4 linked regions of the Caenorhabditis elegans genome follow. The protein of the gene in region 4 interacts with the protein of the main gene of each other region in a pairwise test. Each region holds a gene or a part of one and is shown on either strand. Other genes may lie near its edges.

Region 1 (9,198 bases), on a different chromosome or scaffold from region 4:
TGAACTTTCCATGATTGGACAAAAGGTCATACCCGAGAGAGAGAAACATCCAGATACAGTAACCCACACTTGACAATACCTAATTTTTGTCGTGTCTTTTAGAAGAAAAATGGCAAGATCTGGTTTTTTTGGTATCTAAATGGTTTACCGTTTTTTACACATTTTTATTGAATAAATAACTTCTCGAACACATTTTACAAAAGCTACTAATATGCCTTTATAAGTTTATGAATTCAAAAAAATTGGGTGGAAAGTATTATCTACTATTTTAAGATGTTTTTTTTCAGAGATCTATCCATAACTATCAATTTTCCATTTTGTGAAAAAAAAACTTACGAATCTAATTGATAGGCAAGAAGATATTTGAATGCATTTGACAATTCTCTTGGACCAACATTGTCAGACATATTACAGAGAGGGGGCCAAGTTGAAAAGAGTTCTACTTCTGTTAAGTACTTATTATATTAGTTCAAGTGTCTATTTGTATAGAATAAAATAAAAGAAAAAGAAAAATTTTGAAGATTTTCTACTTCTATTCCAAATGATCTTCTGACCATTTTCTTGAATACGAAAATCGGGAAAATGCGAGCACAATATCGGCCAAATTATATGCGTCTTTGACTTATTCTCGTGATTTTTCAACCAAACAATACCTCAAAAACTAATAATTAAAAAACTGTGTAAAGACAAAACATTGATAATATTGTCTAAATTGCTGCCAAATTGTTATTACGTAGACGTGCAATGGTCTCGCCATTCGAACAACGGGTTACTGTAACTCGTATTAATGTACGGGCCGCTATTGCACAATTATTTTTTCTAAATAAATCTTGTCAGTAATTTCTATTTTTGAAAATGATGATACAACTTTTAGTGACCCGTAAACCGACATGAGTTACAGAAACTCGTTTCCCACGTGGCGAGACCCATACGCGCCTTTAGAATTCAAAAACATGTGTTGCAAGAGAACATATACAAATCTATTCCTGTAGATGTCAGCCGCTTCAACTTTTTTTCCAGAGGAAAGCAAAATCTAGACAAAGTTATAATGAAAATCCTGTCTGGTAAGTTTTTTAAAATTACTACTTAAGTAGCTACTTTTGATTTTTTTTTGTTGTTGAAAAATCACCAACTTTTGGCCGGCACTGCATATAGCTGGAATTAATAAAAACTAATGAACAATATTTTAAAAATTCGGAAAAACGAGTACTACTTCTCTCAAACTTTCGAAAAAAACCATAAAAATTTTGAGTAGGCGGAGCAGGAGCCGAATGACGTGACAAAGTACAAAAAAGAGCAGAAAAAGATGGTCGGAGGGTTACTGTGTAATGCGAACGGAGAGTAAGACGAGTAACTATTTGCAAATCGGATGAGCCATCTGCTACGCAACAAGTGCAAAACTCAAAAATTTTAAAGAGGGAACAGAGAAAAATAGCAGACTTCTTGAATTTCTAAAAGTAGCTAAATTCATCATACTCTAAAAAAAACGGTAGTATTTAAAATCAAGTTTTTACTTCACAACAGACTTTAAGAAACAAATATGAAATACCAAAAAATCCAAATAAGCATCAGGTTGACTGATCTTATTGGTAAATATTCACATAAAAATAATTAAACCGTGTGTATTTTTTCACGATATGATACACAAAACGGTGGGATGAATTTAATATTTAACAGAGACTAATTTAGAGCATATCTTCGCATATGCTTTCCAATCTGACCAATTTATTCCGACACTCCTGATCCTTGACTTTTTTGAGCGACTGCTTGATTGAGTAGCTTGATGAAGAAAAACTCGATTGCTTTTTGTCTGGGAATCTTCTAGCAATTGAAGTCAAGGTGTTAATGATAGGAATAAACAATTCCTTGACTTCCGAGTGCTTCAGCATCAGTAGCATCAAGCGAGGCGACAAAATCTTCAAGTGAGGGAGAATATGCGAATTGGTGACTTCTTCGGGAATCTTCGTGAATAATTTTTCGAGAACATTCAATAATGGATGAAGAATGCTCGTATAAGAGAATCCTCGATCCGCCACAATCAAAACATCAGTGATCGACTTGATGCCATTCAGTTCGACGACAAGCTTTTCCAAAAGTGATGGAACAAGATCGGTGACTCGGTCTGCAAAATATGAACATTTCTATGTGTTGTATGGTTTTGCAATTGACGAAGAAAATCATCCATGGCGGCATATTCATAAACTTTTGGTTTCTATGACTTTCAGATCAAAAAGCAGCTTCTTCGTAATTTTCATTTGCGACATACCGATGACAGTTGCAGCAACATGAACGACGTGAAGGTTATCATTTGTGAGTCCATGAAGAGCGCATTTCTTTAGCCTGAAAATCAATTTTTTTAAATATATTTAAAAAAAAAAGAGTTCTCACTTTGCCTCGACTGATTTATCCTCCATTTCTTCTATACCAATTTGCTCGTCTTCTTGCGCCAATATGTGATTGTATTGGATCATGCGATTGCGAATATTGCTAATTTCCATTTGGAATTTACGCCGTGCAATGAAACCACGTATCATTTTCTGAATGACAACAGCTGCCTTCTTTTTATTCTCAAGAATTTGAGTCTCATCATTTTGCAATTGAGATTTCTGATCCAATTGCATTGAATTTTCGAAGAGTTGACTGTCGTCACCGTGAAGGATAGCAACATCGTGCCCAGCATCTGATCTACTGTCGGACGAATCCTCCCCGCCATCACGAACAGCTAACGCATTTCTCTCGATGTTTCCCAGTTTTCTCGCCTGAAACTTTTAACCATTTTTAACCAGGCCCTGACCACTTTTTAGAGATATCCGTTTTTACAGCTAATTTTACTGGTTTTTCTCGGATTTTTTTGTGCTTCCATTTGAGACGCCAGATGAGAAAAGAAAATCCATTCAAATTTTCCAGGAAAACGAATATCTCGGCGGGCCTTATCAGTCGCTTCTTTTATTGTTACAAAATTTTTAAAAAACCCATTAAAAAATTTAGAAAAATGTTCAATTTTTTACAGTTATATGTGGTCATTATGATCTGTTCTCTCATTTAAAGCAAAAAATGTTTCGTTTTTTGACTGTTGAGTCCACCATTAAATAATCTGTCAAACTTGATATAGACTCACAATTTCCTGTTGCTTTCTCTTGAGTTCTCTGGTTTGTCTCAAGATCCTTCTAAGTTCAGGAGTGTTGGCATCGTCCTCAATAGACACACTAAGGTTATTCGTCTTGACGAAGTTCTTCTGATCTTCTGATAATGACTGGAAAAGCATCTCTAAACGCTCCTGTTCTTCTGTCATTCTGAATTCAACCAATGGGCTTCCGCTTGTCTGCGTAGGATCCATAGGAGATTTTGAAGGTAGATCTTCTTGCGTCTTGCCCTCTTTGATTTCAAAAGTTTCTAAGTTCTCAATTTTCTGACCATCATAGCTTGCTTCATTGTTCCCTTCTAGTGCAACCGGAGAATCTGATGCTTCAAGAACTACGACGCCGACATCTTCAGCTTTAGGGACATGCATCTCTTTGCCAGTTTCAGAGTCTTGAAGAAATATGGCAGATTGGGAAGCGGAAGGAATAGAAGAAAGAGTTTCTAATGGGATGTCTGAAGGTGGACTATCCAAGTTCTCAGCGGAAGGAGCAACAGTGTCTTTGTCTTGGTTTTCATCATCTTCATCTTGTTCTCTGAATACTTCCGCATTGTGCTCCATTCTGACAACGGTTCTCTTTTTCAATGTACTTGGTACGACCGTTTCGTTATTTTCCGAATCATCCTCTTCCTCGATAACCATCGCAATTGTTTTTCTTGTGAATGTACCTCTCAGTGGAGTTTTCTGCATCTTGTTCATGCTTTCAATTGAATCACGTGAAACAGTAAACGTCGCATCGTTGAAGGTAGAATCCATTGATTGGCGAGACGATGGGATTTGTGATAGAGATGGTCTTTCAGTCAGAATATTATTCCGTGGAGTCCTCGGTACTGTGAAAGTGACATTATTAGAGAATGGAGAAACACTTCGGTTTCGAGGAATTGATGAGTCGGCAAGAAGTTGTTGTACAATGAAATACAGCTTGGGAGTATTCTGAAAGTGAATTATAATATAAATAACTTTATTTTTTGATGAATACCTTTCTTTGCACGTAGGCCTTCCACATTCGTTGAATCTTGGTCGCTTTCTCATTTAGATCTTGAATCATACCCAGTCGTTCCAGAAACATTTTTACGAAAAGAGCCATGTTCTGATCAAGTCCTCGCTGAATACAAAGCTCCAACTCGGCAACTGAAACAACTTTCTCCCACAGACTGAGTCCATCATAGTCCTGAATCGGTGTTGAATTTGTTCCGAAAGTGGTCCACAACTTGGCCAGAAGGCACCCATCGGAGAGTGAATCCAAGTCCATGACTTCGATTTCCATCTGTCTTCCGTAAATCTTGCACATTTTTAATACTTCAGAAGACATGTCATCGTGGACAGCAGATCGCCGCTTTTTCGGAGTTCTTTCTTCAGAAACTCTCGTCACCTTGATTCTTTGTTCCTTGGCCACACGAACTCCGATAATAGCCCACAAAATAGACAAAATCTCGTCTTTCTTTCCGCCAACGATTGATTCGGCGTTAACATTATCCGTTGGAACACCCAAAGAAGACATCTCCTGGAGTACAATCTTCACGTTTCCAATTTTGCGGATGCGGTCGCCTGCTGGATCACGTAACTTCAACAGAATTTGACCATGCGGCATCTCTCCGACAGTTTCCAACAGCTTTCTGAAAAATAGGTTATGATCGGTGGAAATAGGGACAGTGATAACATTTGTTGTTGAATGAGGAAAAGCTCGTGTAATTTATAAGAAATCTTTCTAGAAACTCACGCCAAAATTAGACCATCCGAGAAATCTGAAAATCCTTTCGCTTGGTAGTCGTAATTTTCAATGAATGATTGTCGGTAAGTCGGAATAAAACCGACTTTTGCAAACGCTTTTTTGAAAGTAGCAGAGCTTCCAGTCAACAATTCCTTCGTCAGTTCGGAGAACACATCGTCGAGACAATTGAAATGAGAGGACTTCGTGAAGATTCTCGTCAGATTCGGGATAACTCGATGAGTGTGTGCCGTTTCAATCAAGAACATCAGCTTCATCGAGACGGACAGAAAATGCTTGTGTAGAGCTTCTTTGCCAGCCTCAGTGATGATCGGTCTGCAAAAATTTGATTAGGCATAATTTTAACGAACTCGTTCATCCTCTGAAATCAGCAACTTACTTTCCAGAACCTTGTGCAAATTTCTTGTTCTTTAGCATCGTCGGATTTGAGAAAACTAGATCGAGGAAAAACTGAGAAAGTTTTTTCATTAAATGCTTCGGTTGAGCGTCAATTCTCGTGTTAAAGATTGCTTCAAGAGCAGTTTTCAGCCAAGCAGGATGGAATGATAGAAATGTGTGAAGAAGAGTTGTTTGGAGGCCTATGTCATTATATACGGCATGTTCTTTTCGGATTGCGACGTTGTTTTTGGACAGAAGATCCTTGATGCTTGCATCCATTCCTGAATCGTCTAGAAGCTGCTTGCACTTTTTCTTCACAACTTCTGGATCATTTTTCTCAAAAATCCGTTGATATCTCCTGCGTGCATTTTCCTGTGTATTTTCCACTTCTGACGTATCTGATCTTTTCTTCAACATTTTTTGGATATTTCTGCAGGCTTCTGCTTTCGACTCTCCTAGATCCATCTCTTCAGACACATCCAATTCCATCATTGTGTTGCACCACGTGGCGAGTGCAATAATTTGCTTGTTGGCTTTCTCATCATATGATAGAATCGGGGAATCTGATACAGAAGAGCTGATTGAAGGATTGAGAGGAGTTCGCATATTCATTGAAGTCGGACTCGACTCCAAAAAGGCTCGCTCGGTTGCTCTCAAATCGATCTTCTTTGTGTTCGATTTGACTTGATCAAGAAGGCGTTTCTCTGAAAGAGGAAGAAAATAAATAATGAGATAAAGTATAAATATCTTGTTACCGTGTCGATTTGCTAATCGTTTGAGCATTGCCTCTTTTTTATCCTCAACGTTATTATCCATTTTGATTCTGAAAAATACAAAAAATAAAGACGAATAAATCAGGAAGGAAGACACAGCGATATTAGTTTCAATGCCGAGTCCAAAACGCGAAAAAGTCCCGATGTTGTTAGTTTTTTGTCAGTTTTCAGTGCAATTGTCGAACAAAGAAGACAATTTGGGGACTTTTACGCGTTTTGGACGCGGTACAAATGGCCACCTAAAACGGAGGAAAAAAACGTTTTGGGGATAAATCCGGAATTCGCGCCGCGTTCAGGTTGGGTACTGTAATCGTGATAAGACCATTTCTTTGAACTAAGAAGTGTGCCTTTAAACTGCTACTGTGCATTTTTATAATTCACACAAAAATTATATTTTAAAAAAGATTTTAAGGTGACGATTTTATAGTAGAAAAGCGTTAAACAGTTTTCAGGTAGCTTTCGGAAATTTAGATCAAACAAAAATCAATGAAAAAAAAGTAAAATTTATGTTTTGAACGCTCGCGCCACAATGTCATAAATGGAGCGCAATTACTGAATGTCTGCGTCTCCTTAATGCTAGCAATCTCTTCTTCTCAAATCTTGCAAATAAACAGTTTTCTTACCTTTTCCTAATTTATTTTTCTTGTTAAATGTGTTCTATATCACGCGGAAAATTGTCCACAGTTCTGAAATCCACGTCAAGCTGCATTTTCGAAAATCTTGCGTATGAGGAGCATATTTTCAGGGTCAGTTCAGCAGTAATTTCAGTGCCTTTGCTATAGTTTTTGATTTCAGACTCACAATGTCGCTCAAAACGGGGAAATCCTGCTCATGTGGAGTAATCGACCGGCTGTAGTCATCGGAAGACATCAAAATCCGTGGATTGAAGTCAACATACCATATGCTAACAAAAATAATATTCAAATTGTCCGAAGGCACAGTGGAGGAGGCACTGTTTATCATGATCTAGGAAATCTGAATATTTCACTTTTAACAACACACGCACAACACTGTCGGCCAAAAAACTTGAAGGTATTAATATCATTTTTCAAAATAATAAAAATATCATTTTATTATTTCCAGTTCATTTCGGATGCTCTAAATCAACAATTTTCTGTTAAAATCGTTCCAAACAAGCGTGATGACATGGAACTACATCCAGGAGAACGGAAATGCTCAGGAACAGCTGCAAGAATTGCGCGGTATTTTTAAAAAAAATATTTTAAACACTTGTTATGTGAATAATTTAAGAGGTCAAGCCTATCACCATCTAACACTCCTCGTCGGTGCGGATCTTCAAGTATTATCAAAATCTTTGAAATCTCCATGGAGAGATAAAATCGAATCAAATGCTACAAGAAGCGTAAGAGCTCCGGCTGTTGGATTTCTGAAACAAGATGATGCCAATGCAAATGTCGAACAATCAAAATTAGCCATTGTTGAAGCTTATAGGTGAACGGAGCAACTAAAAACTTCCAATCATTAAAAAATTTCAGAAAACTGTTCGAAGAATCACATATAAAAACTGTGAATGTTGCAGAGGAAGTGAAGAAAAATGCAGAAATATCGAAAATCTTTGATGAGTTGAAAGCCTGGAAATGGATTTATGGAAAAAGCCCGAAATTTCAATATTCCCGCGAAAATAAGTCCATAATTGAAGTGAAAGATGGACTCGTGTTAGACACAAATCAACAATTCTCGCCGGATCTTTAGTCATTTCTTTTTATTTTAATTATTTTCTAGTCGTTATTTGATTTTCCGTGTATTTTCCCTTGTTCTCTTGCTCACAGTAATTCCGTTTAAGTAAAATTTAAATTTTTAGATGATGCGAACTGCTCACAAGGATAGAGAGCCGTGGAGGGATATTCGCCGTAGTTTGTGTAAGATTTGAAAAAGCAAAGTTTTTTGTTAATTTCGTATCTTTTAGTGAGCAAATGGCAAGGAGTACGTGTCTGTGATGAACCATCACCATGGTATATGTCCATTCCAACACCATTCAGTCAATTCCATAATGTTTTACCAGAAGAACAAGAGGAAATGGTTTTCACTGAGCTCAAGCTATTTCTAGTCGTAAGTTGGATTTTAAATATACTGTCGGAACAAAACAAGTAACCAGTTAATTTTGCAAGGTCTGGTTTTGCAAGACTGCGGCGCGGTTCGATGATGTAGATTTACGAAGGGTATTGTACTACACCTGGACAAGTGTGAATTCATTTTTTCGCAGGATTTTCGCTTGTTCTTTTTTATTTAACATTCGAAATATCTTTTATTCATTATGTTTCAAGTAAAAGTCGATGTATTCATTTTTGAAACCGACAGGAAGTTTTTCAACATTAATTATATCGGATTTTCTCTGAAATATTAAAACAAAAGTTGATTTTAATTTTAAATGTTAGCCAAAAAATTAGCAAGGGTCGTCAAAAACTGTAAAAGTATACCAAAAACACACACACACACTCTTGTCCGTGTGTGGTACAATTTCCTCCGTAAATCGACAGACATCAAACCGGGCTGCATTAAACAATTTTCAATTTTGCTACGGCTTTTTGCTCTTTCCACAGTGTCCCCTTTTCAAAAAGTCAAAAATATTTCAGGGAAATCAAACGGAAAACATTCGAATCGACGAATACGACAAACACGATCTTCCCATCTCAATTCTTGCAAATATCTCATTTGATCCATTCATTCGTTCAGAACTTGAACGATTTCATGATATTCTTGTGACAGTTGCTACAATTAAAATTTGTTGTTATGCAATCACTCATGATTCTGTCACCTTTTCTTCAATTAGCTCAGCTGTGGCCTCTACTATTGAGAAGAAAGTCAACGGATTCATTACCAAAATTTGCACAAAGTTGAGCGGAAGTACGGTATGTTTAGATATAATTTTATTGTTGGAAATACATTAAAAATTATTTGATGTTCTATATGCTAAAATTAGAAGAAATAGGAAAACTATAACTTTTTAGTGTTATTTAAAATTTAATTTAAATAAAATTACAGGAAGCAAATCAACAAATGAATCAGTTGCTCCGTGAAATGCACACAATTCACGAATCGTTGAATTTCTACAATGGAATCGTCAAATCCATTTATTTGGATCAACTAATCGGTGGCCAAGTGTTAAGCCTGCTCGACTCGAAACGTCGACACGTGTTCTCGGGAAATGTTGTTCAAAA
Region 2 (6,891 bases), on a different chromosome or scaffold from region 4:
AAAATTCGAATTTTTAGTGATTTTTAGCTAAAAATGTTATTTCTTCACTGAAAACTAATGTTTTGAGCCAATTTTAAAGGAAATTCTGATAATTTCCGAATTTTATTGGGAATTTCAGCTGAACATCCGAAATTCACGTTGAAAATTGCAATTTCAAGCCAATTTTCACGAAAAATCCAAATTTTCAGCTGAAAACTACAATTTTAGGTAGATTTCCACGAAAAAATCAATGTTCCACACTAAAAAAAAGGCGAGAAATCCAATATTTCTACCTCATTTTTCTCGTGCAACTGGGCATTTTCAGCTTTAAGCTTCTCAGTTTCCTCGTCTTCTTTTGAAGCTCCAGAAGAAGTACTCGGAGCAGCAGCTGCCAAATTAGCATTCGTCTTTTTAAGCTCAATAACCTCCTCAACCACCAGTGGCTGATTCAACGGAATTTCGACAATTTTCGACTTTTCCGCGTCCAAAACCACTTGAAGCTCTGCCAATTTGCTCTTTTCGATGGAAATTTGCTCACGGAGTTGCTCAATTGTATCCAAATGAGCTTTTTCACGATGATTGAGCTCATTCACAATCACTTCTTGTTGCTTTTTGCTGCAAAATTACGAGAATTTGAGCGTTTTTCCTTGGATTTTTAGTTTTTTTTTAATTTAAAATTTGCCTTTTTTGCCTTTTTCCGGGTAAAAAATGATAATTTCTCAATATTTCACCTTTCCAGCTCAAAAAAAAATCGTTTTTGATCGAAAAAAAAAATGCATTTCAATTGAAATCCGTTGATTTTCCCAGAATTTACGGAAAAAATCGGGTTTTTCGTGGATTTTTGGTTAAAAAAAAAGTTTTTCAGGTGAAATTCTGCGATTTTTTCAATTTTATAGTGGAAAATCGCCAATTTTCCACAGAAATTTGGCCTTTTTTTTTGGCGAAATTTGAGAAAAATCCGGCCATTTTTGTCGATTTTCTTCGAGTTTTGGCTTTCAATGGAAATTTGAGTTTTTCTCGAGTTTTTTTAAAGCAAAATTAATCAATTTCCGACTGAAATTGCCCATTTTTGAGTGAAAAAACGAATTTTTTTGCAAAAAAGCACAATTTTATAGATTTTTAAGGGAAAATCAGCACTTTCCGTTAGAAATTACAAAATTTTCAAATTTTCAGCACTAAAATTGCCTGTTTCCTATAATCGAGTAGAATTTCGAGCTTTTTCTCACATTTTCTCCAAAATTGTCTCCTTTTCAGCAGTTTTTAGGTAAAAATCAGTGAAATATTGGTCAAAACGTGCATTTTTTTTTCAAATTATTCAGTTTTTTCATGACTTTGCTGCTCATTTTTGACCGATTCTAGACCAAAAATAGGGTGGAAAAACTCGAAATTTTCGGTTTTTCAGCGCAAAAATTGCCTGTTTTCTCGATTTTAACATAAATTTCCGTTTTTCTGAAAATTTTCAGATTTTCCTCGAAAATTGTTCATCTACTCACTATTCGTGAAACTCTGAAATATCTCGATTGAGCTCCCCGATAAGTGCCTCCAATCGCGTATAATTCTCAATCATCTGAGCTTTTTCCATCGTCCATTTCTGAGCTTCTCCGTCTTGATCTCGAGCTTTTGCCACTGAAAGAGCAGCTTCCAACTCTAAATTGTGTTGTTTCAATGTTTGATTGTGTGTGCTCAATTGAATCCATTCTTTTCCTTGCTTTTCAAGTTCAGCTTCAACATTTTCAACAGCTGCCGCCAGCTTCAAATGTGTCTGTTTTGCGTGCTCTTTTTCCGAAATAAGCTTCTCCTTTTCTTGCTCCAACTGCTCATGTAGCTTCTTCCATTCTTCTTGTTTCTTCTGTAACTGAGCTTCATGTTCCTTTCGAATCGTCTTCAGCTCTGTTGAAAAACTCGAATTCGTGCTTCTCAACAGCTTCAGCTCTTTCTCATGCTCTTCATTATTTTTGACAGCTTTTCCTGCGGCAACAAGTTCTTGCTCTTTCACACGAAGTTTTCCTTCAATTCCCTGAATTTGACGAGCCAATTCTGATTCGTGAGCCTGATTTTGAGCCACTTTTTGCAAGAGTTGTTGGCGTTGAGCTCTGAAAAACAGGAGAAAATTCGGATTTTAGGCTCAAAAGTGCAATTTTTTGGGTTTTTTCACATTTTTAGAGCTTTTTTTGGCGTTGAGCACTGAAAAATTGCAGGTTTTTAGAGAGATTTTAAGCGGAAAATTGAAAATTTTTCCAGCAATTTCAGCGTTTTTTTAGCCGATTTTTAAGACCAAAAGTTGAATTTTTTGCTGGAATTTGTAATTTTTGGCGAATTTCTTAAAATTCACCGTTTTTTGAAAGGAATGCCTGCTCGGACTCTTTGAGCTCAATTTTAAGAAGTTTTTAGGGATTTTTCACAAATTTGGAGCATTTTTTTGCGTAAAACTGTCGGTTCTCAGCCCGATTTTCAAGACAGAAAAGTTAAATTTTTGAATAAATTAGGGTTTTTACCGTTGTACAACAATTTAGGCTGAAAATAGTAATTTTTAAAACAAAATTCTACAATTTTCACGGCCAAAATGTCGTTTTTCAGCTGTTTGCTAACGAAAAATCGTCGAAAAGTCAAATTTCGGCGGGAAATTGGAAATTTTCAATCGATTTTGCCTAATTTCCGTCAAAATTGACTAAATTATGGTGCATTTCGACTGAGAAAACGATTTTTCATCAAATTTTGGAGAAAATTGCCTCTTTTTTTGTCAGAAATGCGTGGTCAGCAATTTTAGTTCAGAATTTTTAAATTTCGGACGAAAAAATATCATTCTTGGCCCAATTTTCATGAAATTTCGTGATTTTTCCACGTTTTCCATCGAAATTCTTGAATTTTCGCACAAAATTATCATTTTTAGACCAATTTTCATCAATTTTCACGATTTTTCTCAATTTTCCGCGTAAAAAATCGACATACTGCTCGTGTTTCTCGCGTTGTTCCACAGCCATCTTTTCTTTATTCAATTTCTCAATTTTCACAGCAGATTCCGTCATCTTCTTGTTCAAAGCCTTAACTTCCAGACTCAAATTATTCTTCTGAGCATCAGAATCACGGAATGCTCCAGCCAAGAATTGAATATAAGCTTCATCGAGTTCTGGGAGTCCGGAGAGCTTGTTGAGCACCTTTTTCTGATCCAAATCCTTCAAATTCACCGATTTTCGCTCTTTTGGAGACGATTTTTGAGTTGTTGGAGCTGCTGGAGCTGGAATTGGAGCAGAAGCCTGAGTAGATTCCACTTTTTGGACTTGAATTTCCGGTTTTTCTGGAATTGGAGCAGCAGAAGCTTTTGGTGATGGTTGTTGCTGAGCCGTTGGAGTTGGAGCATTTGGAGCAGCTGGAGCAGCTGAAGCCGGAGCTGGAGCGGCATCTTGTGCTTTTTTGCCCGTTTGCTGTTGCTTCTTTGTCTTATTTTTTGGCTGTTTCTTCTTCTCGTTGTTGTCAGTCAAAAGAGCCAATGCGTCGCGGTTGTAAGCCTGAAAATTTGAAAAATTTATAGATTTTTACAGTTTTTTTTTTGACTGAAAATGCCAATTTTCAGCACACAAAAATCCTTCTTTTTGGAGAAATTCCTTGGAATATTTGTTTTTTTTTTTTGAAAATATAATCGTATTTTATTCAGAATTTCCCCCAAAAAACGACATTTTTGTGCCTAAATTCCCATTTTTTAAACCAATTTTTATCAGGAAAACCGAATTTCAGCGAAGATTTCATCGAAAAAAACAAAAAGACGATTTTTGTGTTGAAATTTTAAATTTACACCTGAAAATTGGCATTTTTGGCCTGAATTTGTTCATTTTTGCCTTAAAAAACCGAAAGAAGCCAATTTTGAACCGAAAACCTTCTTTTTTTGGGAAAACTTCGATAAAAATCCAATTTTTGATAGGAAAATTGTTTTTTTTAAGTGAAAAAGAGCAATTTTGCTCATTTCAAGTCAAAATTCTCGGAAAAAATATCGAATTCCTCGTTAAAAATCGTCTTTTTTAGAATAAAAGTTTGCTGAAAATGCCGTTTTTCTGATAAAAATTAATTTTTTTCAACAATTTTCAGGCACAAAAAGGTATTTTTCGCAGATTTTCAGTCAATTTGATGAGAAAATCCGAGGAAAATTGCCTTTTCAGTCAGAATTCTCTGAAAAATATCCACTTTTCTCGTAAAAATTTAGTTTTCCTGGTTTTTTCGCGGGGAAAAAAAAGTTTTAGGCCAATTTTAGGTCAAGGAAAATCCGGTTGTTAAGCGAAAAAAGTCGATAATCTCTTGAAATTTCACTCTTCTGATCAGAATTCGTGTGAAAAATCTCAATTTTTCCACGAAAATCGTTCCGAACCTTGTCAAAATTATCCTCTTGTCGATTCATGAATATCATATAATAAATTGCAAACACAAATACACCAACACCACCGAGAATGCCGAGAGCTGTTGATGGATCGACGAATGACGAGTCCATTGGCTGAAATTATTTAGCATTTTTAGAAATTTTATAGAAAAAAGTGGGAAAATGGAGAAATTATCGAAATTCGGAATTTTTAATCGAAAAAATCGAGTTTTTGAGTAAAAAATCTCTATGAAAACGTGTAAAATTCGAAATTTTCGAAAAAAATGGCACTTTTTCAGTGTAAAACCCTGAAAAATCGATTTTATTTCGAAAATATCAAATTTCCCACATTTTCATAGAGATTTTTTACTCAAAAACTCGTTTTTTTCGATTAAAAATTCCGAATTTCGAGCTATTTTCAATGGATTTCTCGTTTTTAGTGGAATTTTCTATGTTTCTTCTCTGAAAATTATCGATATTTCAGCTTTAAAATATCTGAAAAGTTGAAAAATGACTCCTGTGTCGATTTACGCGGCTCTTGTGTACTCCTCGTGGAGAAGAGTTACAATTTTAGTAAAAATATCCAAAAATGCCGCATTTTTACTATAACTGTACAAATCTTCTCTTCTCCTCGAGAAGTACACAAGAGCTGCGTAAATCGACAAAGGAGTCATTTTTCAACTTTTCACATATTTTTAAAGCTGAATATCGATAATTTCCAAGAAAAAATATGGGATTTAATGTGAAAAATTGAGTTTTCAATAGAAAATTCCACTAAAATACCTCGAAATTTGAATTTTTTAATAAAAAAAAATCGAGTTTTTGAGTAGAAAATTCCACTACAACCGAGAAATTTCTTCGCTGAGATGCCAGTTTTTCGGGAAAATCCATTTCAAAGTTGAAAATTCTTCCAAAAAAAAAAAAGTGGCATTTCGAGCACTTTTCTTTACTTTCGGGGACGGCAACTGAGAATTTCACACAGAGATCGGCAAAGTTGAAATGGTGGTGATAAAAATGACAATAATAATTGCATTTCCGTTGGGGTAAAGACAATTGCGCGGGCCGCGGTGGAGACAACTTTTATATTAAAAAAAAAGTTTTCGCAGCCCGCGCGCGGGGAACGACAAAGTACACCCGAAATTCCGAAATATCGAGGTCAAATAGAAAATCATCAAGAGAGGGGGTGTATCCCTGTGTTAATCAATGAAAAACTTTGATACTTGAGAAACCTAATAGGAAGAGAAATTGTAGGCTTTTTGTCGTTTAGGAACACACTTCTGTAGGCCCACGTGGTCCCCAGGTTGTCCCATTACGGTTTGATCTACAAAAAATGCGGGAATTTTTTGCCCAACAAAAAATGTGACGTCAGCACGTTCTTAACCATGCAAAATCGGTTGAAAACTCGCGTCTCAAACTCTCCCGCATTTTTGTGTAGATCAAACCGAAATGGGCAGCCTGGCACCCCTGGTGTGTAGGCCTTGAACGTAGGCCTACCTGCCTGTCTTTGAGGCGACCGACTCCGCCTGACTCTCGCCTCAATACGTGTTACGTGTAATTTGATTTTTTAACAAATTGATAGAAATGAGAAAATTTGAAAACTCATGTCAAAATGCAGCAAAGAGGCGAAAGGCAGGCAGATTTCAGGCAGGCATCATTCTCTGAAGCCTTGCCTGCCTACCGGCGGTGTCAGTGGGAATTTTGCTTTGAAACACTCGAAAAAATAGACTAAAACAGTCAGTAAATTCGAAAATTTCAGGTAAAATCCAGTTTTTTTTTTCCATAAGATTAATTTTCTAGGAAAAAAAATTTGGTTTTACCGACCAAAAAAATCCCAAAACTGGGCAACATTAAAGTCAGTTAGAAACCCTGGTTAGGCACCAATTTTCAGAGAAACCTGGCCCAAAACCGGTCGATTTCCTCGATTTTCAGTTCAAAAAACTAAATTTCTTGGAACAAAATCTCAAAATACGGACGTCAAAGCTTCAAAAATTCCAGATCGCTGCTGGAAAAGCTGGAAAAAAGTGGGCGGCGGCGGAAATGCGAAATTCGAGGAATTTCGGGATCTGCTGCAAAGGAGAAGAAACCCCCCAAAAAAAGTACGGGAAATACCGCAGAGACACAGAGAAACAGGGGGCACTGCAGCCACGTCCTCTCATCCCTCCCGATGCTTCTGGACATTCCCTATTGCTCTGTCTGGTGACTCTCCACTCCACGTACACTATCTATTCGTGGGCAGCGCCAATGACAGGCGCTGGGCGCCAACGAGAGATCACGGGAAGCCACAGAGACTCAGAGAACGGACAGAGTGTCTGGTGTCTCTTGTGTCTTCAGTGTGCAAGTGTCTGCGTCTTTTGTGAAGAAGAAGAAGAAGAACTGCAAACGAAATTAGTTGCTCCGTGCGTGTTGGAGCTCCGTCTGGCTTTACGTCTTCATGTTTATTTGTTTATTCAGAAGCGTTTAATGAGCAAATACTCGGGCTCCATAGAGCGTTTTACTGAAATTCTGACCTTTTTTCAGCTGATTTTCGAATTTTCTGATGAAACCGGGCTCCGTGGAGCTCCTTTTGG
Region 3 (10,122 bases), on a different chromosome or scaffold from region 4:
GCCATCCTCCCGCCGAAAGAACAATAGAACATAGCTGATTAAGTTCACGTGATGATTTACATATTAAGAAGAGAAATAACTTCCAGGGGTCGAAGTTCATAACTTTTTTTGTTGTACATGGATTTATTCGAAAATTTCGGAAAGTATGTTATCAACCCTGCTCTTTCACGTGATGGTAGTTTCAAAATGATTTGAACAGCCAAAGTTTATCAGACTGATGTTCTTTCTAGTTTATTTTCAGACTTTTTAAGTTAAAGGGTAATTTTGCTTATTCAAAAGTATAATGTGAAAGTTCAAAAAAGAATTGGAGGAAATTGCAGCCAGAAAAATTGCTAAGAGTTTTTTTTTCCATCAAAAAAACATGTTTTACTTGTTTGATATGTCAGAAGTCTGTAAAAAACTAAAAACACTATTCCGTTTTAACATGTTCTATCTTTTTTAAATTAAAACTGAACTTCCAATTAGATAACAAAAATTTAAGTGTCAGAATTTCGACTAATTCTGATATCTGAACATATTCAAATATTTCAAATCAGTTTTGTTTTTCAATAAAATATTTTCATTACATCTTCGAAATCCTTCTGGATTTTTTTAAAACCGATTAGCATTGCCCTTTTCGTTCACATCTGGTCATTTTTTCAGTTTCTATATAGCAAAAAGTATATCTGATAATTTTTATAAGGTTAGAAAATAATTTTCATTTGAAACATTTCAATCACAATTATTAAAACGATATTGCAACTAGCAAAACACATGGCCTTTTTGAATGAGCTTATGAAGCTGATGGAAAAAATACAAGTACATCATCTAAACTGGCTAAAAATTAAAAGAACAAAACTACATACAAATTGTATTAAGAGGAATGGACTTTGGAAACTTGAATTGAAAAATAAATTGAATTATGCATGTAACAGAAAGTAACAAAGAAGGAAAGTGTGTTGTTGGTAGCGTGTTTGTAAATAATAAATAGAATTTCGATGACTAGTGCATGAGGAATATTCAAGAAAATTGGTTATCCGCAAGTATTGACTTGTTATTGTTACTATTTTTGAACATATTGTAAGGAATTGGAGCAGTCGGTACAGGGTCGAATGATGATCCAGATGATGATCTGCAACTTTTTTTGTATAGTTTGTTACTTTTGAAGATGTTTATCGAATCGTAATAGATTCTGGAGCTAGTATTTTCAGCTTGACCTATGTGTGTTTCTAGAAAGTATTCAACTGAAAATTTTATACTCAAAAACTAACTTAAAAAGGAACTTACAATTAGAGAAAAGTTCAAGATTCACTGTAGTTTTGCTTTCGTTCAGAAAACTCAAATTTTGAGTACTTTTTGCAAAGTTTCCTAGGAAGAAAAAACAACGGTCTCATAATTTTTTGTCTCACCTCCGATGAAGAGAATTTTGCATCAACGAGCCCGATGAAGTTCTTGCATGTTCTGATAGCCTGGAATATGGGAATTAAGGAAATTATATTTGATTTATTTGAGCAATTAATAAAACTGCGTCTTACCCTCCAGTCACGCCCATTCGACCTTTTTTCTTCCTTTCCTGTATTTTCTGTCTAATTTCCTCCATTCTACTCAGTGCCTCGTCTCCGCTGTCTGGAAAAAAAGAAAAGAAATGAGAAAAAAAAGGAGAGAGGAAGAAGAGTGCTCTTTTCACATGCCAAAAGAAATGCAGTCGACGCTTCCCCCTTTGCCTTTCTTTTTTCCCGACTAGGGCTTCATATACTCACTTTTATCTACCATTGCTGCATATTTGTCCCGCTCCGACCTCAGTTCGTTGATGATCAGATCCTAAAATTTATCAATTATTCATCGAATATGCCCGTTGTAATTTGTGAGCTCATTTCAAAGTGTGTTTTCTGATGTTCTCTATAATAGAAATAAAGCTCATTTCTAGTATATCAAATATCAGAAACATTTTTATTTATTCTAGGCGCGATAATTAAATATACCAATCTAAAATTACTCTCTTGAATTAAACTCCCAAAGTTATTAGGCAAAAAGATTCTCCCCGGCCGGGAATTGAACCCGGGTCTCGCATGTGACAGACGCGGATACTCACCACTATACTACCGAGGACACGAAAGAGAGCGGTTGTTGAGGCTTTTATAAACTGGGTTTATGACCGAAAATTTAGTGCTATATAGTATATGTAACAATAAATTATGTTAATATGTATAAGGGGCAACTGGGAAACTTTAAACAATTTATTGAAAACATTTTCTGTGAGAAAACACGTAACCTTGAAAAGTAACGTCTCTATTTTTGAAAAGATCCCTTATAAATGTTTTCACTTGTTTTAAATTTTGTATAAAAAATTTAGCAGCAGTTCTTGCCTCACCTTTTCATAACTCTCCTCTTTCAATTTGTCCACCTGGGTTTCAAAGTTGTCAGTTATTGTTGCAAGAGTTGACTTCCGTTGCTCAGTTTTGTCACCGTGAGTTCTAAAAAAAGCTTTTTCAATTCTGCTCTCCATTTCCGTTTTCGGCTCAGTTCTTCAACAAACGAAGAGAATAAAAGAAGAGAGAAAGAAAAAAAAACAAACTTTCGCAAATCGTTCACCATTCTTTCGAGTTGCTGAATCTTGTCGTCTTTTGATTGAATGCTCTTTCGCATTCGAATAAGATCCTCTGTGCTGCCGGGAGTAGTGGTTCGCTGCAAAATTGATGATTATGCAAATGAGTAGTGGTTAGTAATTCCATGAGTAATTCTATAGATGTTCTGGCATGTTCTATTTCAGGGCTTATGTACTACTATGTACAAAGACGGCTTAGACGGCAATATCTAGGATAAGATTGTTATAGAAGATAAACTAATAATAATAGTTTATAATTTTAATTTCCAGTAAAAAAATTATGAGATGCTAGAAAAATTTTTAATTCTCCATTTTTTAATGGTATATATTAGAAAAATGATGACGCTCTTTAGACCCTCTGCAAACGTTTTCAAATGTACTAACCTATAGGCGTCCCATCTAATTTTCAGAAAAAAAATACTGAGACCGGTGCTGATCTATATCAATAAAACTTTCATTACCGGACATTTAACCCCATAATCGGGAACCGGTTCAAATGTTGTCGCCCCCCCCCCCCCTTTTCCTAGCACACCCCACATTACTTTCATTTACTACTATTTCTCTCCCTGTTTCGAGACAAACCTTAAGACTTCCAGTGAGTGATGTGTCTTTGTTCAATTGCATTCTTAGCTGAGTCTTCTCCATTTCCCACTGAGCCCGTTCCGACTCAACCATCTGATCCCTCCGATGTTGTTCTTCCCATACTTCGTTTAGTTGCTTTCGCAGCTCATCAGCGTGTGCCACTACAGCGGACAATTCTTCGCATTTCTAGAAAAAGTGTTTCTTATTGAATTTTAATTTCAAAAAAAAGATAACGTACTATCAAGAAAACAGTTTTGATTTGGGAGCTTTAAAAAATATTTTTAATGTAAGTTAAGAAAGCAAAAAACATTTTTTAGAGAAGTCCGGAAGTGCAAGGTATATTGCAAAGTTAAATTAAAATTTGAATTTCGCAATATTTTTTGAATATGAATGCAAAAGTAATGGTACATAACTATTTGAGTGCCTTTAAAATTACCTTGAAAATAGAAAAAAAATTGATAGACAAGTTCTGAATGTTTCTAAACACAGCACGTTTTCAATTGTTGTTTGTATCACATGGAAGTTTTTTTTCATTTCTTATTTTCCCACGTCAGTTTGCAAATTTTTTTCGCGTTTCACTTTTATTCATTATTATATCAATTGGAGTGTCTCATCAAAAACAAAAAAAATGAGACAACTGTTAAAAATCTATTTCAAGTAAAAATTGATTTCCGGCTAGTGAGACAATTTTTTATTTATTTTTGGGTTGTCTCGTTATGAAGTCATGTTGATCAAAATCCTTAAAAACCGAAAAAGTGGCCAAAGGTGACCAAACCTGGCCACCAATGGGCTCTAAATGTACCATAATCAACGAAGTGAGATCATAATTCAAAAACTTCAATTTCCGACTACTGCGACACGGTAAAATATTCTAAATTAGAGATTTTAGCTAACAGTCAGGAAAAAAAAATTTTAAATTTTTGGAGAAGTTTCATTACGAATTTCGTTCATTTGAAAACATTTTTAGTCTATATGTTCAGAAATTCTCCATATTCACAAAATACCCAAACAACTGTTCACTTTTATCAAAAGTACACTGTTGTGGTCCTATACTTTTGTTCTCCCCCCATTTTCCCATAAATAAATTGGAAATGTTATCCATTCCGCTCAGCACATTCTCCCACAAATATTCCATACTTTTTCCCGCTTCGCCAATCTCTCTTGTGAATTGGCGAGTGCCTTCTCAAGCATTGCAATATGATTTCGTTGCTCCTCCAACGTCTGATTCTGTGCCTCAATCTCCATTTTTTGCCGCTCTTTGCATGCGAAGAGTTCTTGCCCTGAATCGGAAAAAAATCAATTGTATAAGTATTTTATTCGTTTTTTTTTTCATATTTCTCATTCTGCTTCTCTGTTTCCAGTTCTATTGTATCAAATTTATTTCTTTTTTTCTCCTCACTCTGCTGAATTTCGTTTAACATCAGGTTCGCCACCATCGTTGGTTCAGTACTTGCTTTTTCCAGCCGCATTTGCAAGTCGTCTCTTTCGATGGTAAGTCTGAAACTAAGATTTTTAGAAGATAATGGATTTTCCTGTTGATTGGATGTTTGTTTGATATATTGCCGCTTGTCAGTTTTTTTTTTGGATAAACTTTTTAAAATAAAAATATTGTAAAATTTCAGAAAAATATGCCCGTGTAAAACTTTGTATGAAATAAGCTTTTTTTTGCTTACTCGGCATTTGGTTCTGGCTTCTTGCCCAACTTTGTCCTACAAAATATCAACATGGATTGGCGCAACTTGGCCAAAAGTTAGGCAAGACTTCGGCAAAAATTACACCAAAGTTCAACACAAGTTTCACCCAACTCTCGCCAGACTTCTACCAAAGTTTGAAACGAAACAAGAAAAGTTTGGGCCAAAGTTTGGCAAGAGTTGGGTTTAAAGTAGGGTAAGAGTAGAGTTCGGCTTTGGTTAAACTCTGGTGCAGTCTCAATCCTTTTTCTCAAGTTTAGCCAACTTCTAAGCCAAGTTAAGATTTTTTGGGCCAAACTTGGGCAAGTTGCAAGAGCCAAATGCGAAGAGTATTTTGCCCAAGTTTGTTTAATCAAATCATTATTGTTGTGAACTTCAATGATATTAGTTGTGTTCAATGTTTGTCTAGTTTGCCCCAAACAACAAAAAAGTGCTGCTCGTGAATTTTGTGAAATAGTTTTCAATTCATTTTTAAATGGAAACTTTTTTATATTGCCTTCATTAGATATAAATATCAGAAAATTGTTGTCTCTTTTTACCGACAAGATTTTCAACCAACTTACTTTTTTACAGACTTTTCCAATTGAATAATCACGTTCAGCTCTAAATTTTCTTGCTTTTTTCGTTCATTTGCCAAGTATTCGTATTCTTTTTCCAGTCGAGCATATGAGTATTCAATCTGCAAGCATTTAGGTTTCCCACTATTTTGAAACTTCCAACAAACCTGTTGTAGTTTTGAAAGACTGCGCTTGAAAGCGTCGAGCTCTTTTTTCAAGTGCACATTCTCCTCGCGGAGAATTTGAATGAGCTTCTGGTTGCTGGATACTCCCTAAAATAATTGTTTGTTTTGCTGTTGCTTGTTGAAGTTCTTACTCTGTTAGTTTGGCTCAATGTGGGGACGTCAAGTGCTTGATCTCCAGATGCAGATGCCCTACGCTGATAGGCAGATGTGCTCATTTTTGATTCATTTGGGGGAATACTGAAATTATTAATGTTTAAAAGAAGAAGGTCAAGCTTTTTTTTGTAAAAAAAATATCTCAGGAAAAATGTTGAGTTTGTCAAAAAAGTTTGTTTGTTTTTTGAAATGCAACTTGAAAGTAGGAAGTTTTAATTTTAGATAATCGTTTAGCTAAAAACCTGTGCGGAAGTTGTTTAAAAGTTTTTCCATACGAATATAGTGATTAAATATAAAAATGAAACTCTTGTTATAATTTTTGAATTTTTTATTCACAAAAAAAAAAGAGAGAAATCTAGCAATTTTTCAGTATTCGTCACTTACTACTTATTAAATTCACCAAAATGTTTTCTACGATTTTTATAATTTTATAAAATGAAAAAAAAAATGCTACAAATTTCCTTATTTAAAAAGTGTGGCTGAAATTAATGCATAGTGGGAAACACTGTGGATAAAGTTATTGATACATTCAAAAAAAATTTTACAGTTTACCGTATAACGTTTCAAAAACATCATAAAACCAATACTTACTCTGACGATCTTGATCCACTCGCAATAAGACATGGCTGAGAATGACTGATAGGTGATGCTGAAATAATATACTATTTTCATCAATCCACCAAAAACAGAAAAAAAACAAAAAATGTCACACGCACGTCCTGCACTTCCATGTAAATCCTTCCGGCTGTTTGCTCTTTGCATGTTCATTTCAAGCTGATATTTTTCGAGCATCTTCTGCAACCGCTTCTCGTCGTCATCCTTGCTTTTTGTTTGAGCCTGGTGGTTCATCACTGAAAAATAGTTTTTCGAATTGCAGGACCCCTGGTTCGATATTGCTCACCACTCGCTTTCAGACTTGGATTCAACTGAGCCTCCTTTAGAAGTGAGTCTAAAATGTTCGTCTCTCCCTGATACATGGGTGTCGGTGGCACTGCATGCACTCGTCGCTGATCCGATGATGTGCCATCCGACGAGCGCGGATCTATCACGTCCCCTCGATTCATTCACCCTGAGATTAGTTTCGATTAAATAGTGAATCATCAAGATTGAATGTAGAACGAGAAAAAAATAGGTGAGAAAAATTAGACATTTATTTGGGTGCTAATATGGCAATCATACCTAGAAATATTTAATCAATAACGTAATTCTCACGTGGTCATTTTTCAACTAAACTACATGAAGCTAATACTAACATGAATTTTAACTTCACATCTTGAATGAATGAATATTTTGAATGCAAATACAAACGTGGTGTCAGGCCCACGGTGTCAGGCATTACGGTTTCATCTACAAAAAATGCGGGAGTTTTTCAATCGAAAAAAAATTGACGCCAGCGCGTTCTTAACCGTGCAAAATCAGTTGAGAACTCTGCGTCTGAACTCCTGCATTTTTTGTAGGTCTACGTAGATCAAACCAAAATGAGACACATTGACGCCACAAGAATACATGAAAAAATGATACAAAATTATATGTATTCTGGAAAAAAATTAAACAAAACTAAACCATGAATATTGTTGCCAGTGCAACATGTTCCCAAATTTTACGAATGATAAGAAGACACTTCGTGAGCTAATACATACAATGTAGAAACATTTTCATTAGTTTAAAATTGAATTAAATCTAATTTGATAATATACCAATACTCTAAACTGTAAGACCAAACTAAAAGTGACAATTTCTGGTATAAGTCACAAATACTCAACAACAAAAAACTAACACAAACCCGTCTCGGGCGGTCAAACGCAGTTTCGATTAAACTACACTAAAAGGTTTCAAGTGACCTGACCCGAAATGCAAGTTCCTAATTATATAATTACACGCGTTCGTGTGGAAGACCTTCTTTCCAAAATCGTTTAGTTTAGTTCTGATTATCGCGGCTTATCCGTGTTAATCTCTGACGTGGTCGAAATCCAAAATGAAGAAACTTATGTTTTTGCTGTTTTTTCCAGTTTTTTTGTTTTTGAATCATGTGTACTGAACAACAAATGGGCAGGATGAAAAGCAAAATATGATGAAGCTAGCCGAAAACATAAACAATAGAAACAAAAACTTCGAAACAAAAATATGAGGAAAGAGAATATGTTTTATATGACGAATTTTTTTAAAACTATTTTGATATTTAATGTGTAGTTTTTCGTTTAATAATTTTAGGTATGGTATGTTTTGTATCAATTTTGCACCCCATGGTATTTTTCATGGATCTTCTATGATTCCCAGCGTCTTCAAAATGCTCGTATAATTTTGTTTCTAAATGTGCACATTTTTGTTTGAATCCTACGTAAATTCCAGTTTTGTATATTGAATTTCAAATATAAACAGTCAAAAAATGGTATTGCAAGAAATACTGCAATGAAAAACACAGTAGTTCTAGGAATTACGAACAAAAATTAATTCGTCGGTTTATCATCTTGTAGAATTGGATTTTTGACTTCTGATTTTTTTAAATATTTTAGAATCTTTTTCGATTTTACTTACTTACTTAGTTTTACCTAGTTTTATTTAGTTTTATTTGGTTTTATTTTATTTTTTCTTTGATACTGAGTTTTATCGAATTTTCACATAAATTGCTTTAAGTTTCCTTGAACAAATCATTTGAAAATCATCAAAAGTATTTTAGGATCATTTTATGCGTTAGTGATTATTGATTTAATATATGGGTTATTGAATAGAAAATGCCAATTTTTTGATTCTATGTGACAATTGGTTTCTTTCTTTGTGATAGCAAATTAAAAAAATATTTCAATGTCATAATAATTAACTAGAAGCTTCAATAATGAACTATGAATAGCATATAAGTTTGAAATCTATTGATAAAAGATTATCAACAAAAAAGAAAAGAGTTAAACCATGTAAAACTTTTAGTCAAGTGTTAGAAATGTGTTGATTGAGTAGCCCCTCTCGAGACGCGAGTAAGAAATCGATTGATCAACGATAGGTGGGAGGCAGTGCGCTGGGCCCTACGCTCACCATCGGCATCTCTGTGCAACGCGTACTATCTCGACGACCCATCTGTCCAATTGCTACACGCATTCGCGATCTTGTTCCGCGCTGGACCACACTACCAACACTTCCCGCTTGACCCTTTCTCTCTCCCGGAGCCTAATAACACCTGCTTTTTCTACTGGTCGTTTTTTCTTTTATTAATTGCCTCTTTTCTCTCAGCGTGTTTGTTTTTTGTCTTCTATTTTCAATTTTGAAAAAGAAAAACATTTTTCTCGTTATTCAAAAGTTTCTCTTCATGTTTTCTTCTCCGTGTGAAAAACAGTATAGATTTCTCATTCCCAATTCTCTTCCACCTCACCGGGTCACGTGAACTTGATGCGAAGGAAAACAAACCCTCAACTGTCTAGCACTCACAGTTTCTGGTTCCCGAGCGGTGGCGGCACACAAGGTCGAAAAAATTCAGTCACCAAAAATTGATAGCCTCGGCTGTTTTGGCGTGTCAAATTAATGAACACTGTCTTAAGAATTTCAACATAATGTTTCATCTTTTTCCTTTTTAGATTTATCATCTCCTGTTTGAATTTAAATATTTCACAAAGTACAAAAAGTTACGATATAGCCAACTTTTCATAACAGAGAAAAACCACTGTAATGTCAAATTTTCAGAAAATTGGTGAATTTCTGTTAAATATCCTTAGTATCCTCAATTAACAAGTTCCTAATCAATTTCTCTCCGAATCTATTTCCAACCAAAAAGTGTTTCAAGTTTGGCATGTCGCCCGTCCCGCTGTTCATCCCGTCCATCTTCGCTCGTGTGTCCCGTCCATCCCACATATCGAAAATATATTGGTAGTGTGTGTATGTGTGTGTGTGTGTAGAACTGGCCACACAGACGTATATACTGTTAGATACGGGGAGAACCACCAGAGATGAAGAGAAATGGTGGTGAGTGGTCGAGCGCACGTCGATGAGTGTCTATGAGTGCGGTGGTGAGCGCATGAGCGCGTGAGTGTGCGGCGGTGCGGTTTCTCCGTCTCTACACGACATGAAACCCTCTCAGTTGACCCTACGTTCCTTCTTCTCTCTGCACACACACACACATACACACAGCGGTCTCATTGATTCGTGAAAGAAAAAGAGAGAGCGAGAGTGCGGGAGGGTGGTCTGATGAGTGAAGCGTGAGCGGACAGACTCACGGGGGTTAGTAGTAGTGAAGCGAGGAAAAAGTGGAAAGACGGGGAGTTTCCGCTGCGTCTCTCGCCCGGCAAGCAATTTGATGTTGGCCTCTCACTATGAGATGGAGAGAGACAGACAGGGAGAGAAACGCGCAATGTCGTCGCCGGTCGCCTTCTCGCCCTCGATCGGGG
Region 4 (6,057 bases):
AAAGATAAATCGAAACATTTTTTGAAAATAGCGGTATTTGAAGCAGAAAAAGTGAGTGGGGAAGTCTTTTAATTTGATAACAAATGAGTATTAACAATATTTTGGTGCATGATGACCTGTGAACGATTTGGTTGGGTTGTTATCGGGGCAACAACAATAATGTTTTGCCAAAAATTTGCCAAATAGTTCAACGTGGAACTTCTCTTTGTTTGTCTTATGCAGTGATGTTTATATGGAGATGCCAGTGCCATGTTGTACGGTACCTGACACGATTAAAAATATGTCAACAAAAACAAGTGTACGCCTTTAAAGAGTACAGTAGTTTCAGCAGTTTGCTGATTTCTTAGTTTTTTATCGTTTCCTGTTTTTTAAGCTTCAATTTTTAATAAACAGTGAGTGTGAAAACTAAGAAAAATTGAACAACGGTACTCCTTAAAACCGCACTCCTCTCCTTTCACTGAAAATTATTGGCCGTTTCGAGACCGGGTACCGTAATTTTTAAACAGCGAAATTTAGCATTTAGGTATTTGCTCTATTATTCAACTTTGAAAATTCTGTTGTTTTCTCAAAACAAAATTTTTTTTTTGTAGTTTTTATAACATATTAAATATTTTCTGATATCTGCAGTCATATAAGTTATTTGGTGCAAGAGTAACTGAGAAAATACGGATGCGTTCTAGAAAAAAAGGATAAGTAAGAAAGTCGTAGATAGTTACTATTTGATAGTATCTCAAGAAAGAATGGGAAACTAAGCAAGACCTTGAACTAATCGTCATTTGAAGAGAACTTTAGCATAGTACGTTTTCAAACGAAAACCACAATTTCTCAATACTGCCTTCCCATCACAAACGAAAATTTTATCCTATAGGATTAAAACCAATTTTCAGTAGAACTACAACAAGATTCTGAAAAGTGCACTCAATGCTTTCACGAATGGGCTACAGCACAAGATGATAACTGTATGAAATAATCATGTAATGCACGATATCAGGCCATTTCAATTGGTCTTTTGCGGCGATTTATCACTGGTGATAATTGGAAGTTGGACAGATAAAAGTATAAGATTGAAAAGATTGAACCAACAGAGATTAATAAAATAACAAAAGTCGGAGATGATAGGCAACTCAGCAGCAAATTTAATTTAATTTTCAAAAAAAAAATTCATGTAGTATAATTTTCATTAAAAAAAATGGTTAGCAAGGAAAATGAAATGATTATGTTTCTTCGTCTTCAATAACTTCCAGCTTAATTTGACTTGTCAACTTTTTCAAATGTTTATCCGTAGCCTCGACTTGTCCATGCCATGCGTGCAGTTTGTTGGCCCATTCATCACTGATTCGAGGTTTCACTTCAACTACGCTGGCCGATTTTCTGTTCTTCTTGTTCGCAGGCGATGTGAATGATTCGTCACTGAATAATTTAATAATTTTTAATTGAAGAAAAAAACAAAAATCTTCACTTACATTTGGGAAGCAGTTATCGGAGCAGAAGTTTGTGGGATTTGTTCTCGTTTCACTTCAACCAATTTCGCATTTGCACGTTTTGGTGCCCGAATTCTTGCAACTCCCGATGTTCCCTGCTTGCCTACTTTACCGCCCAATGAATCTTCAGGTATTTCAGGCTTTATTCTGGCAGCATACTCATTTCGTAGAACTTCTTCAGCCAATGCATTATCGTCTAATAACTCTTCAGGATTAACTGTTGTCGTTTTTCTGCGTCGCCGTTGTCTTACAGGGCGATCAATCGGGCTGTAAAAATAGGTTATTATTTTGGGGTTAAACTGTAATTGCTTACATTGGAACCTGAGCATCATTATCATCCAAACATTCCTGGGCGATGTCACCAAACGTTCTTGCGGTAAGATGTTTGAAGTTTTCTGCAAAAGTTGAACGCTGACTTTTGAAAAAAAAAAACATATTTTCGTGTAATAAATGTACCTTCCATGTTTGGATCAAGATGCCTTCTTTGTCTAGTGTGTTTTAGTCCTTCAGCATATGCTTTACTTCTCAAAGTTGATCTGCTTGAACCAGCTGTTTCCTCTGGAGCGCTACTAATTTCTGGATTTGTTGGAGAACTTTCGAACTGTTCTTTATATTTTTCGACAATGCCCTTGATTTCGTGTAATGGTGATTTGAGCCCCGTTAGAGTATCACTTAGTCCAAGTTTTTGCTTAGCCTCTGTGTAAACTCCGTGAATAAATGATAATTCCGTCATAATATCAGAACTGAGCATTTTCGTAACACTGGAAAACGGCTCCTGAAACTGTTTATGAAAAAATTCCAATAATTTAACTTACTTACAACTGGAATTTTGTTAAAATAGGGCAACTCTTCCTCGGCAAGGTATTTTTTGTGGGTTGCCGGATCATATGTCGACTGAAACACTTTAATTCTAAACGCTTTCTTCAGAATAAGCATTTTGAGAGCCGCAATTGGTTCAAGAAGTTTTTCGACTTCTAAAGATTTTTGAAATTCGAGAAGCTCTTCGAATTGTACCGCAGTGACCGGAATCTGAATTAAATTTTTTAAAACTAAATTAAACTTAGAATTAATCACCTGACAGACATGATCAACTGGCTGCAAATTGTACAACGCATAGCAAACATAAACTCCGAATAGCCTCTCCTGAAAATATAACATTTCAGACTTATTTTTACTTCTATTTCAAACCTTGAATGCCCTGAATGCTCCAACTTCATTCACTTTTCCGAAATACATTGCTGCGTGTTGTAACAGGTATTCAGTAAACTGAAAGCCGGAATATTATAATAGACTAAATAAAATCAAAATAAAGCTACCTCTAAGCATTCGGCAGGATTTAATCGATAATGAAGAATGGTCTCAAAATGCATATCCCGAAAAACATCAGCAAAGTCTCGAATTCTTAATTAATCAAGATTTTCCATCAAATAATACATTTTCTAACTATACCTGTTGGATCCCATAGATATAAACTTGTTGCACAATAAATGAAGATCTTGTTTAACTCCAGTTCCCATAAATGGCGTGGGAATACCTCCAGAAGCCATTGCGACTCGTTTTTTCCTTGAATCTTCAGAAATAAATCCGAAAATAATTGACGAAAATAAAAACATGCAAGTGCGCTCTATCGTGAACAACCAATTCTCGGCGGGAACCAGCGGTATTCAACGCATTTCAAAATGAGTTGCGCCTCAATTTACCTAAAAATATTGTTTTTCAATCGTTTTGATATAATTTAGCTCAAAATATTCCCATAAAATTAGTTTAAATATATTCGCAATCAATTTTACGCTTTATTAAAACATCAAAAGCTATAGATCTGCGTGAAACGTTCTTATAAATCGTGTTGCCGTGAAAAATATTCTACTGATCGTTTTCTATCGAAACATTTTCATGTTTTCAGAAGAATCGAACTTCAATCAGTATGCCTGACGACGAGGAGAAGCTCCAATTACTTGCTGTAACGTTTTATCATTTCATCTATTACCAACTAAACCTAATATTTCAGGACGTTGAGAGGCTCAAGAAAATTCTCCGTCAAAAAGATGAAATGCTCGAGGAGATGGAAGACGATCTCAAAAATCAGGGAAAACCTTGTTCTTCCAAACTTTCACTCGAAGAACGTGCACAAGAATTGAGTGAACAACTTCGCGATCTTCATGTTGAGATGGACGGAAAAAACGCCACAATTCTTGATCGGGACGCTCTCATCGATTCACTGCGTAGTGAGATCGACAAACTCGAAAAAATTGTAGGTTTTCATCATTGTGGGCAACATTAATATATTGAATTCTCAGAATAAGGAGTTTGCCAACGGATCAGTGATTCCCGAACATGATGATTCCAATTCCTTCGGAGAATCTGAAATGCTTCGTATTAGCGAAGATTGTCAGAAATACAAAGAGACGGCGACTGCTCTTTACGAACGAAACGCCGAACTCGAAAAAGAAGCGGTCAACTTGAAAGATGAAATTGAGTCGATGATGGATCATATTCGGGACCTCAAAAATCATATGGAGACGCGTGATGAGGAAATTGCCAGATTGGAAGGAGAGCTTTTTGATGAGAGAAACTCCCATGAAGGAAAATTAGCGGCACGCGGAAATTCAATGTTTTCTGAGGTAGGTTAAAAAATATCAATTAACTGCATTTTTTTTAATATTCTTCAGGTTATTGATGCCGAGCGGAAGGTTGAAGAAGACCTGAAAGTTCTTCATGGAGAGAATCGAGCACTGAAAGGGATGGTAAAACGTCTTCGAATGGAAGTAGAAGAAGTCGAAGAAAGACTTCGGTCATCCACAAAAAGATTCAACGTTACCCGAATGACCACAAGTGATATTGATGTCAAAGAGATGCGTCGTCTCAGAGACAGAGTTTGTCACCTGGAAACGGAAAGGGTTCATTTGTGGGAAAGAATGTTCATTAAAATGAGGTCAATTCCAAAACGCGAAGTGGGAGCGTTGATTACCGGCTACTTCAAGTCGTTCGAATTGTCAATTGCGAGCGTGAAAGGAGGTTTTGACGGTTTGATGAAGGACAACGAAAAGTACGTGACAATTATTCGTGGATTGCAACAGGAAGTAGAAAATCTCAAAGCGGACATTGTGCAACTACAATTCGACAATAAATGTGCTCACAGAAAAGCTGCACCAGTTGTCAATAAGGATTTCGAGCACCCGCTTCTTGCTGCTCCTCTGAAAACTCTTAACAATGGACGACCATCATTCTTCATTAAACCGAAAAACGTGGAACCCATGCCTCAATTAGGGCATTCATTATCCAGTATTGCCGTTACGCCACAGGTAGATAAAAGTGCAACTTTTCACTATAAATAATTATTTTTCCAGAAACCAGCAGCTAAATTCACCACTCGTTCCTCCATCAAAGATGATACTTCAGAATGGGCAGAACGTCGTATGAAAGCTCAAGCTGAAAAGAAATTGGCGACTCCGACGCCGCGTTACAACTATATCAAACTGTCCGAGCCCGTTCCAAAATTCAAACCGGCTGTTCTTCAAATGCCATCAACCTCAGAAACAAAGGAAAACTGAGTAAACATCATGTTCGTAGTCATCTCGTATTCATATAAAACCGCCTGTATTGATCTCGTCCCCTCTATTCACCAAGTTTTGTCGATTATTCTACAATGTTTCCTATTTAATGCATGTCAAATAAAATTATTTTTATTATAACGCTCATTCTTAGATTGTTGATGTTCAAGAACTTGATAGAGCCGCTGGCGGGAGTGCAGTGGAGCGCGAAACCCTATCGATATTACACGATCACTTATTGATTTATATATTTTTAATATTTATTATTGTAAATATGGGGTAGAATATAGAAAAATATTTTCCAGATTTTCTCTTCCCTACAATCTTCGGAGATCTCGTATGGATATGCTTTCGATATAGGTTCAGTTCTTACTACTAGTAACATTTGAGAGAGCTTAAAATTTAAAAATTGTAAACCGTTCGAATTTGTTCTGGTGTGGGGTTCGCATGATATTGATCGTTTTTAATATTTACGATGATTTTTTGTGTTGTGCGAGGGTGTTTTAAAATTTGAATTTGCCGCCGAATGAAGTAGAACAAGAACGCAAATGCGCTCTGTGGCGAATGGTGTTCGACAAAAAGTTTTTAAGATCATTTTCTCAGCAAAATTTCGTTTCCTTTCTAATTTTTCCATTTCAGACATCACATTTCGTCCGGAAAGCAGATGCCGAAGAAGAACAATACAAAACGAGCACCACCAAGGTATTTTTATAACATTTTGATAAAAATAATTATCTAATATTTCGTTTAGTGTACCAAAGCCGTCCGGTCCGCCACCTCGATTACTTCAACTGACATCCTCAGATGGACATTTGTTGCAGGGAGACATCCGGGCCCTCCTCCTCTCAAGTACACTTGCTGCAACCATCAGAGAGCTAGGATATGACAAGGAATACTGTGCTGAATTAAAACCGGTACCTGTGAACAATGTTGTTGGATTTACATTAAAATTACTGATTGAATGGTGCGATAAACACAAAGAAGATGATCCTGCAATTGCACTGGCCGAGAAGGACAAGAAAAAT

What was found.
Region 1: the proteins of spdl-1 (region 4) and aspm-1 interact in a two-hybrid assay, tested with the Caenorhabditis elegans proteins (one large-scale study listed by BioGRID).
Region 2: the proteins of spdl-1 (region 4) and tcc-1 interact in a two-hybrid assay, tested with the Caenorhabditis elegans proteins (one large-scale study listed by BioGRID).
Region 3: the proteins of spdl-1 (region 4) and F59C12.3 interact in a two-hybrid assay, tested with the Caenorhabditis elegans proteins (one large-scale study listed by BioGRID).

The regions. Positions count from the first base shown.
Region 1 is NC_003279.8:9,220,322-9,229,519, forward strand, and holds aspm-1 (Calponin-homology (CH) domain-containing protein), read right to left. Parts: upstream 6,070-9,198; 5' UTR 6,063-6,069; coding exon 6,002-6,062; intron 5,951-6,001; coding exon 5,248-5,950; intron 5,184-5,247; coding exon 4,860-5,183; intron 4,756-4,859; coding exon 4,119-4,755; intron 4,073-4,118; coding exon 3,119-4,072; intron 2,760-3,118; coding exon 2,389-2,759; intron 2,341-2,388; coding exon 2,267-2,340; intron 2,123-2,266; coding exon 1,686-2,122; 3' UTR 1,429-1,685; downstream 1-1,428. Other genes in the region: lim-9 (Protein espinas), read right to left, coding at 337-407; lipt-1 (BPL/LPL catalytic domain-containing protein), read left to right, coding at 6,670-6,765, 6,815-7,051, 7,103-7,221, 7,271-7,471, 7,516-7,732; gip-2 (Gamma-tubulin interacting protein 2), read left to right, coding at 7,842-7,899, 7,947-8,089, 8,614-8,889, 9,023-9,198.
Region 2 is NC_003283.11:17,851,531-17,858,421, forward strand, and holds the start of tcc-1 (Ribosome-binding protein 1), read right to left. Parts: upstream 4,460-6,891; 5' UTR 4,457-4,459; coding exon 4,337-4,456; intron 3,486-4,336; coding exon 2,929-3,485; intron 2,073-2,928; coding exon 1,473-2,072; intron 595-1,472; coding exon 273-594; intron 1-272.
Region 3 is NC_003284.9:16,602,704-16,612,825, forward strand, and holds F59C12.3 (Angiomotin_C domain-containing protein), read right to left. Parts: upstream 6,822-10,122; 5' UTR 6,817-6,821; coding exon 6,654-6,816; intron 6,604-6,653; coding exon 6,469-6,603; intron 6,402-6,468; coding exon 6,344-6,401; intron 6,174-6,343; exon of another isoform or gene 5,949-6,173; intron 5,837-5,948; coding exon 5,731-5,836; intron 5,687-5,730; coding exon 5,582-5,686; intron 5,537-5,581; coding exon 5,421-5,536; intron 4,664-5,420; coding exon 4,566-4,663; intron 4,447-4,565; coding exon 4,304-4,446; intron 3,353-4,303; coding exon 3,167-3,352; intron 2,665-3,166; coding exon 2,555-2,664; intron 2,454-2,554; coding exon 2,351-2,453; intron 2,100-2,350; exon of another isoform or gene 2,007-2,099; intron 1,801-2,006; coding exon 1,740-1,800; intron 1,606-1,739; coding exon 1,515-1,605; intron 1,449-1,514; coding exon 1,389-1,448; intron 1,112-1,388; coding exon 1,000-1,111; 3' UTR 688-999; downstream 1-687.
Region 4 is NC_003280.10:7,778,182-7,784,238, forward strand, and holds spdl-1 (Spindly-like protein spdl-1), read left to right. Parts: upstream 1-3,384; 5' UTR 3,385-3,405; coding exon 3,406-3,441; intron 3,442-3,489; coding exon 3,490-3,732; intron 3,733-3,778; coding exon 3,779-4,102; intron 4,103-4,150; coding exon 4,151-4,783; intron 4,784-4,828; coding exon 4,829-5,032; 3' UTR 5,033-5,170; downstream 5,171-6,057. Other genes in the region: snpc-1.1 (snRNA-activating protein complex subunit 1), read right to left, coding at 1,215-1,410, 1,464-1,748, 1,795-1,876, 1,938-2,256, 2,301-2,510, 2,556-2,624, 2,670-2,747, 2,798-2,882 and 1 more; skr-17 (Skp1-related protein), read left to right, coding at 5,697-5,734, 5,784-6,057. UniProt on the Caenorhabditis elegans protein: Transient kinetochore component required for chromosome and spindle pole alignment and chromosome segregation during mitosis.